Linked DNA regions of Caenorhabditis elegans. The protein of the gene in region 1 interacts with the protein of each later gene in a pairwise test. Each region holds a gene or a part of one and is shown in the gene's direction. Other genes may lie near its edges.

Region 1 (4,266 bases):
ATTGGTTCCCTATTGATTTTTGAAACTTTTGATATTTTACTTGTTTTTTTTCAGTAACTCTTTTATGATTTTTCAGAAAACAATGGCTTACAAAGATATGATGGAAATGCCTGGAGTGCTGAAACCAGCACTCCTGCTTCTCACACTTCTTCAAATTATCTTTATGGCTTCACCAGGAGTCCGTGGATGGTTTTGGTTCATTTGCCTCACATCGATTCTGGAATTTCTCGCGGCTATCGCAGTTGTTGCAGTTGTTTTCTTAGATTTAACTTTTACAAGATCGGGACAGTTTGTGATTATTGTGAGTGAGAATTTTAAATCAATAGCGAATGCAGTAACTTCTTGGTAAAATTTTCACTCGTTTTTGGCAGAAATTTTACAACTTATTTGAGAGGTGTTTAATGAGTTGTCGCCGATTGTTTATATTGATAGTCGGGAAATTAAAGAATAAGCTGATTAAATCGATTTGTACTACTATTTGATTTGACTTCAGAATGTGCTCAAAATGTTGCTAAATGTTGCAAAATGTTGCTAAAAGCTGAACTCTCGCTCTCCATAGGCAATATCTATTCACATCAGCTAAGAATATGTATAGGTTCGAATATATTTAGGCTATTAGTAATGTCTCTTAAAATATTTGCAACTATTTTAACATGATAATCAGGACGAGTTCATTCCTGCCTGTCTGATTTCTTGTCTACCGTAATTTTTCTATAATACTGATTCTACTATCAAATGTTTCATTGATGTGAAAAATGTTATAAAAATGCAGGCAAAAAGTTTTAAAATAATTTATTTCAGGAACTCGCATACAGTGGAGCATTCTGTGTATGCAGTGCTCTCAACACTATTTACTATTTTTGCAATATCTTCTATCATTTCAATTTTTGGTTCCTTTTGGCAACTGTTTGTTTTTTAAGATACTAAAACTTAAGAATCAGTATTATTATATTTTCAGATTGTATCGGTACTTCTTGTACTAGCATATGGTCTTCAAGCACTCATGGCTTGGACTTCAATGTCTGCTTCAAGAACTTCTTCTTCACACACTTCAAACCAAGCAACTGCTGGACCACCACCAACAGTCTATCCAGCCGGAGCCAACCCTGCATAAGCTTTGAACAAAAACGAATTTTAACGGTTTATAGCTCTTATTTATTTTTTAACGAGACATCACAAAAACCCCTTCTTTCTCACTCTTTTCTCTTGCTCTCCTACATTTGACATGTTGACATTTTTGAACAAAATAAAGTGTTTCCTTTAACTAGTTAAAATATTTTTGGAAGCTGAGGATAACGGCGAGGCTTAAACAAGAGTGCATCTAGCCCGCATCTGTCCTCGCCCTCATTGCAAAAGCTTCATTTCCCGATTTGCAAGTATGGTAATGTGTAATGACATTTGTTGAGACGCAGTTGAAGTTGAAAATGGCTAAATGAAAAAATAATTGGCGTTTCTTTTCAAAATTAATTTTCAAAAAATGACATCCGTGGCCTTCCATTTTTCAAATACCACGTCACAACAAAACAACCGAATAACCAGAAAACTACAAAATAAATTTATTTCACAAAATTTACAAGACGTAGAAGCGAAATCAAAACAATGTCGCTATCGGAGCTGTCAGTTCTGTCTGCTGAAACTGCAATCAGTTTTCACGAAATGGATTTGGAAATTTTGAAGGAGAGTCAGAAGGCGTTGAGGGAAGAAGCTGGAGGAAAAGAAGAGGTGGAGGAAACAGTGGAGAATCCGAATCCAATTGTGTTCATTGCCGTTGATGATCAGAATCTACCAAATGGAGAGGAAGAGGACTCATTCATCTTCGAAAAACTTCAGTTTCGAGTCAAGCAAGTTATGGAAAACGGTACTCGTCGTGTATATCTTTCTGTGCAAGCAACAACTCCTGCTGAATGGCAACTTCTTGTTCAACTCAGAATCAAAACTGGATGTCAGTCGAATATTTTGAATGTTGTTGATAAGGATGTTTATAAATTTGATTCATTTTCATATCCTCTGAACGTGGAAATTCAGAATAGTGACGTCAAATTTTTGAAATTTGAAATGAGAGTGTTGAATTTGGTGAGTTTTTTTTTTTGAGATTATAATCTATTGATCTGTAAATTATAAACTATTTCAGATGTACCTGGATCTCCCAACTTTTGAGGAAGGTGATGAAGTGATTGAATTCGACGATGGATCTCGTATTCGTGTTCATTCAAACATCCTCTCCCTATTGTCGGATTATTTGGGAAAATCGGAAAAAGAGTACGCATCTCGTACGGATTGCCCAGCTATCAAAGCAACTTGCTCTGAAAAGGAAGCATTCCTCGAACTTCTTTACCAAGCATATCCTACTCGCCGTCCAATTTTCGCATCATTCCGTCGTTTGACAGCTGGAGCCGTTGGTTACAAGTGTGACAATTTGATTTATCAGTTGTCGAAACATCTCATTGACTACAATTACAGACCGGTTTGAAGTTCTTTTATTTGAAATTTTCTAATGAACTATTTTCAGATGACATTCTTGCAACGCTTTCAAGCAGCGATTGAGAATAGATTGGAGCCTGCTATCAGTGAACTTGCATTCCGTGCAGCTTTGGACGGAACATGGAACCAGATGATTCAATCAGGATTTGAACCTGAGAACTTCTGTGGTCGTCAAGTTTACACGAAAATTGTGTGCCCCGCTATCTTGCTGGCAAGAAATGCAAAGCCCGATGCGACAACTTTGAAGAAGCCCGAGAACAATTTGAAATTTATTGAATTGGAGGTAATCCAATGTTGAACAAAGTTTAATATAAAGTAGTTTATTTAGGAGGGTGACACTACCAAGTCTGCAATTCTATTCCGTGGAACCATCTTCTACATCAACAGTGGGATACTTGCCGCTCATGGAAAGGAAATGCTTTGTATTGGTCAAAATGGAGAATACATTGCTCGTTACACTGCAGAATTTCATCGCGAATGTGCTCGTGGAGACTTGATCCCTGGCGAAGTTCTTGTTCAACTTCTCACCTACATGCATCCAATGGGAGAAGTTCCTCATCCGGATATGATTCGTGCTTGCATTGTTTTTGCTTTCGATCATGGATGGAATATTGTCAAGGAAAACTTGGAAAATGAATTTGAGCCACCAATTACACCAGATGAGTACATGTCGCAATTGATGTTTGGAGACAAGTTTGATCTCAAAAACTTGCTCCGTGTCAATATTCAAAGAGCCGAGTCAAGGTTTGTTTCGAGAAAGTTCCAATTAATCACTATGTTTCATATTTCAGTTGTCGTGAACTTGCCGAGGTTTTGGAGAGACATGGAAAACTGAAAATCTTGAAGGATCGTACTCATGAAGGAATCATGGACAGAATGTGCAGTGGATGGGGACTGAATCCAATGGTCAATCGGCTTTCTACTAGGTTTATTAGTTTAAGTTTTCATTCATTCAACAACTTACTTCTACAGATTTCCTACAACTTTCCACCACCGTACTGTCAATTTGCAACGTGGTAAAGCAGTGGTTGTTGGAGAAGGTCGAGCTGTTGACACGTTGAACTCTCTGGCATCGGATCACGCATTTGGAGAACCAACGGAGCTTATTGTCGTCGACTAGTATTTTTCGTAACTTCCTGTATGATTTTTAATGTTTTTTATTTTCTCTATTTGCTCCGGACTTGTGATTTGTAATGCTATGCTTCTCCAACCATTCTCTATAAAGCATTTCTTCGATCATACACCTCCCTTTGTGCACTTTTTGCAGAGAATTACAGAATTAAGCTCCGAACACATGTGTCGTTCGGGTCGATAATCCGAAAATACGCAAAAGCGCCTGAGTTGTGCTCTTTTCTGCTGCTTGCTGCTGCTCGGAAGACAGTCTCAGTAGCCCGGAGGGACTCTCCCGTAGCGGCTCCCGTTGAGGGACATTGCGGCGTGTTGAGCAAATGCAAACAATGACCGGATGGTATGTGCGTGCGTCTCCGCCGATCAGCATGCTTCTCGCCAACTCTGGAATCGTCGTATTTTGCCACTTTTCTGCTATTCCACCTCTCTTTCTCTCTAGCTGCCTGATCCTTTCACAGTCATGCCAAAGTCTTTCGTCACTGGTTTCTTTTTTGTTTCTTCGTTCGCTTAATTTTCGGAGCCTAATCTTTTCAACTTTTTAGAAAGTTTTCCAGTTTTCTCTTGATTCGTGTGCACTCATTTTCCTCCCAAAAAATTTCAAAACTGATTGTTCAATCCCGTGATTTCAATTTTCTGCCAGTTCGGAAGTTTGACATT
Region 2 (4,508 bases), on another chromosome or scaffold:
AAGTAAACTTTTCTTGAAATCTTATTTCTTACTTGAAACAGTAATTTCAATTCTCGAAACGTAAAAAATTATATGATTTTTCCGTTTTTCCTTCATTTAAAATGATTTTACACCAAAAACAGTTTCATAAAGTTGTTTAATGTGTTCTAGAAATATCAATTATTTTATAAATTTCAAATCACTTTTTTGAGAAAAGAAATCTGAATTTTGTCAGAGATGTTTCAACTGGTTTTCAAAAGAAAAACTTGAGTAACTATTTTTAGTAGATAGATCCTTCGACCTTTCCAGTCGTTTTAACAGTGAAAAAAAAACCCGATAATCAACACATTATTCCACATTACTTGTGGGGTTTCTCAAGAACGCCTAACGCTAACGAAATATGAGCGCCCGACATCTACCGAGTTTCACTCACCTATATGAGATATAAATCAGTGCAGTAAAAGCTAATTTTCAAATATTTCCAATACACGAACAATAATGAAACTAGTCAGTTTTATAATATTAATTTCTGAAAATTTAAGCAGTTTCACAAATTTTTTTTCTTCGAAATTTCGACAAACTTAAAAGCATTATTGAATGATCAAATTTATCTAGTAATTTTAAGTCTACTTGAAACTGTAATTTCAATTCTCGAAATGCAAAACAAATTATAGGATTTCCGCGTTTTTCTTTCATTAAAAATCATTTATAGGGAATTATCTTTGAAAAAATAAACGTTAACAAATGTTCCCGAAACAACAGATTATCAGTCCAATAATATGTCAAGTTGTTCTTGGAGCTATGATTTGCAGTTGAAAAAGTGAAATTATTTTTATTTTCCCCAGCATTTTAAAAAAGTTACATCAATATTAAATACAAACTTGAAACAGTATTTTCAATTAATTAATTTTTTATTTTAATTTTTCTTTTATGCTTAGTTGTTTAAACAGTAGATGTTTTCTCTAACAGTTAACAGTTTTTTTTTAATATTTGCCATCTCTTTGTTGTGGGGCAAACGCTCGAAAAATTCAAAATTCTAATCAAAACCAATCAATAAACACTAAAAACGCTCCAAACCCCCCTCTCGTAAACCAACGTCCGTTGTCCTGAAACGTTCCTTTTCTCTGCGTCTCTCGTCATTTCTCTTACCACCACCTGCGTCTCTCACACTAATTCGGTCTCTCAACTCGCGGCGGGAGGCATTGCGCGCAAACAATGCTTCCCGTGCGGTGACGTTTTCGATTTTATCGGTTTTTATTTTGTGTTGTTTCTTGTTTCTCGTGAATTTTATATTGTTATTCACTAATTTTGAAAATTCGCGGTTTTTTAATTCAAATCTTTTTTTTAATTTAAAAAAAACGAGTGCTAGTCAGAAAGTCCCATTTTGCTTTGACCTTCAAAAAATGTGGGAGCAGCGACGCAGACATATCATCTGATTTTGCATGGTTTAGAGCGTGCTTACGTCACAATTTTTATGAATAAATATTCCCGCATTTTTCGTAGATCAAACCGAATGTGTGTACCTGACACCACGTCGATTATCACTATTGATTTTTTGAATTTTATTTGAACGCTCAAAATCTAAAAAAAATTCAATTTTCAGATGTCCCGCCGAGCTTCAAAAAGACCTGCTCCGTATCCACTCCTATGCGAACAAAAACCGGAAGATCTTCTAGTTGCTCCAGTCGAACATAAGGTTTACCAGGATTTTGAGCCTAAAAGACCCCGAGAATTTTCCCCCGTGATGGCTCAATCCCTTCCACCAGGAGAAATTGACTTCCAACCGAGCAAAATCATCTTCAATGCTCCGTACAATGAAAACCAAGAATCTAAAATCAAATTAATCAATACTTCGGCTCTTCGTATTGCTTATGGAATCAATACATATATGAAAAGACTCAGAGTTGATACGATGTGCACTCCAAATTGTGGAGTACTCGATCCAAGTGAGGAGATTCTTCTAACAATTTCCTGCGATGCTTTTGCATTCGGACAAGTAGATACCACAAATGACCGTATCACTGTCGAATGGACCAATACGTCTGAAGGATCCACCAAGCAGTTCTGTCGTGATTGGTTGGATGGAGATGGGATGGTTCGTCGTAAGACCCTTCCGATAGAGTACAGCTCATCTCCAATTGCTCAAACATCTTCGGCACCCCTTCTTCAGGCCTCTAAGCATGGGATGTGGTTGCCGATTGGATTCGCTGCTTCCGAATTGTACGATTATGCGAAAGGGGAACCATTGGATCGGAAGACTTGTGAGGTAGGTTTTGAGGGGATTATTTCTAGAGCAACTCGTATAGTGTCGGGCGCTGAAGTTCAGACGATTGAAATCTGATAGCAGCCAACATTGCACGGGCCTAGTTAGAATAACGAGTTTGCATGGCGAGACTTGTGAAATGTCGGTTTGCTTGTAGAAACAAAATCTCACCGCGAACTCCTCTAAAACTGCTTTTGCTAGCAGCCGACATTAAAACGAACGAACGGAAGCAGAAGTCGGTGCTTTACAGTATTGTTAAAGAAACTCGCAAAGTGTCGGGAGCTGAAATCCAAGTGCTTGAAATTTGATAGCAGCCGACACCACAATGGCCCAGTTAGAACAATATTGAATGTTGAGACTCGTGAAATGTCGGCTTGTTTATAGGAACAAAATATTACCCGTGGACTCTTTTAAAACTGCTGTTGCTAGCAGCCGACATTTTACGGGCCCACCACGGAATTTGCAGTCTAACTCGTAAGATGTCAGTTGCTTACAGTACATCATTGTAGTCAAGACCTTAGCCCTGCCAAATAAATCTTCAAATTTTTCAGAAAAACCTGGAGAAACTCATCAAAAATGACCGTGATGTTGACTACTACGAATGGCTCAATTTCGCCAAGCGGTGTCGAACACAAAATCAGAATTTGATGGAGGAAATGGCACTTGGAATGGCTTTCACTACGGCGATGGTGAGCAATTTCCAAAAGTTTCGAAAATTAAAAAAAATTCGCTTTCAGGCAAACAAGCAGCACAGGAAGATTTCTCGAAAAGCGGAGAAAATCACGGAACCGATCACAACGAACAAGGCATTCTCAATTGACTCAGCCGAGAAGTTTGACAGAGCTTTGACGTTGCCCAGCAGGAAATGGTTCATGATTTCCGATGTTGTGACGGATGGAGATGTGTCGAATTGGTCGACGGCTAACTTGGTGACTCTTGTGAGAGCTCTGGCGAGAACGGTTTTCGATAAGGTATGCTTAGTGGAGTCTTGCGTAGACTTTATAGAATCTTGCGTAAACTCCAAAAATTTAAGGTTGCCATTGCGGACCCCCATATGATGTGCTACGCAACTTCACAAAACGCTTCTACATATATTCCCATCGCTAGGGACTTTTTCGAAGGGTTTGCTGGTTAGTTTTCCACACGTTTCACCAAAAATTTATAAATTCTTTGAAACAGTAGGAAATTTAATATTAAAAAAACCATGTTCCTCTTCCAGAGTACATACTCGGTGGGTTCGGCGAAGAACAATCGCGAGACCTGAAGTTTCGAGTGAGGAAGCTGGTCACCGACGTTATGGGCAATAAGTTGTGAGTTTTACTGTCTCAGGGCTCAGTACTAAATTTATTTTTCAGAGACCGTGTGAGAGGCCGCCACAACAAAATGTATGGAAACGAAGCAAGTGAAGATGCCACAAGATGGCTCCGAGAGCAACTCCGCAAGGAGGATGGAGAGCTCAAAGAGTTTGTGATTTCATTGAGTTTTATAAAAATCGATAATTTTTTTCAGATCCCGACTAATTTTCCCAAATGGCTCAGAAATGATGTGTAACTATCAGGTAAACGAAGAAAACCCAGAAGGAAGTATAAAATCAGAAATTTTCAATGACGAAGAGGAAGTGGAAATGGAATAATTTGTTTTTGAAATTGTTATATTTTGTTGACTTTTCTATTAACTTATGTATTTCAATTCTGAAAAAAAAACATTTCAGCTGTCTATATAAAAGTTTTTCCAGCGCTCCTCTCATAGTTCTCAAGGTTTCAATAATTTGAAAATTTCAAATTTTTACTGTTTCAATGTGTTGTGAAACATGAGCTAAAATTAAAATGAAATGTTAGTCCCATAGTAAAAAGTTTTTGTTGTGAAATTGCAGTCCCGTGCAATTTTTGGCTCTGTTCGAGATTTTCTACTATATTTCCAGCCACAATTTGTAGAGTCGCATATTACTTAAATATAAATTAAAAAGAATCAATAATAACTGTTTAAAAAATAGTTTTGGGTCAACAGTGAAAATTTTACTGCGCAGAAAACTGTTGCTCACTTCAAATTTGAGCACAAAATCTATAAAAATTGTTTCATGGTGTTCATTTATTGGAACTGTTAGCATCAACATGAATTAAATTTATTGATCTCAGAGATCATCGGCTCAGATGATGTTCAACTCCAACTTTAAAAAGATTTCAGTGCCCTTAAGTACTTTAGCATTTTTTATAGCTCTTTTCACTTTTATAGTTGGAAAAAAAGTTTGAACATATAGTAAATGCGC

The links. The genes of interacting proteins can lie anywhere in the genome.
Region 2: the proteins of C18E9.8 (region 1) and Y105C5B.19 interact in a two-hybrid assay, tested with the Caenorhabditis elegans proteins (one large-scale study listed by BioGRID).

Annotation. Positions count from the first base shown.
Region 1 is NC_003280.10:8,985,355-8,989,620, reverse strand, and holds C18E9.8 (DUF7754 domain-containing protein), read left to right. Parts: upstream 1-1,558; 5' UTR 1,559-1,599; coding exon 1,600-2,073; intron 2,074-2,131; coding exon 2,132-2,464; intron 2,465-2,509; coding exon 2,510-2,764; intron 2,765-2,809; coding exon 2,810-3,225; intron 3,226-3,272; coding exon 3,273-3,407; intron 3,408-3,453; coding exon 3,454-3,601; 3' UTR 3,602-3,721; downstream 3,722-4,266. Other genes in the region: C18E9.9 (MARVEL domain-containing protein), read left to right, coding at 83-301, 802-906, 959-1,114.
Region 2 is NC_003282.8:15,981,045-15,985,552, reverse strand, and holds Y105C5B.19 (Major sperm protein), read left to right. Parts: upstream 1-1,582; coding exon 1,583-2,245; intron 2,246-2,793; coding exon 2,794-2,931; intron 2,932-2,979; coding exon 2,980-3,213; intron 3,214-3,275; coding exon 3,276-3,372; exon of another isoform or gene 3,373-3,376; intron 3,377-3,461; coding exon 3,462-3,552; intron 3,553-3,597; coding exon 3,598-3,705; intron 3,706-3,751; coding exon 3,752-3,875; 3' UTR 3,876-3,978; downstream 3,979-4,508.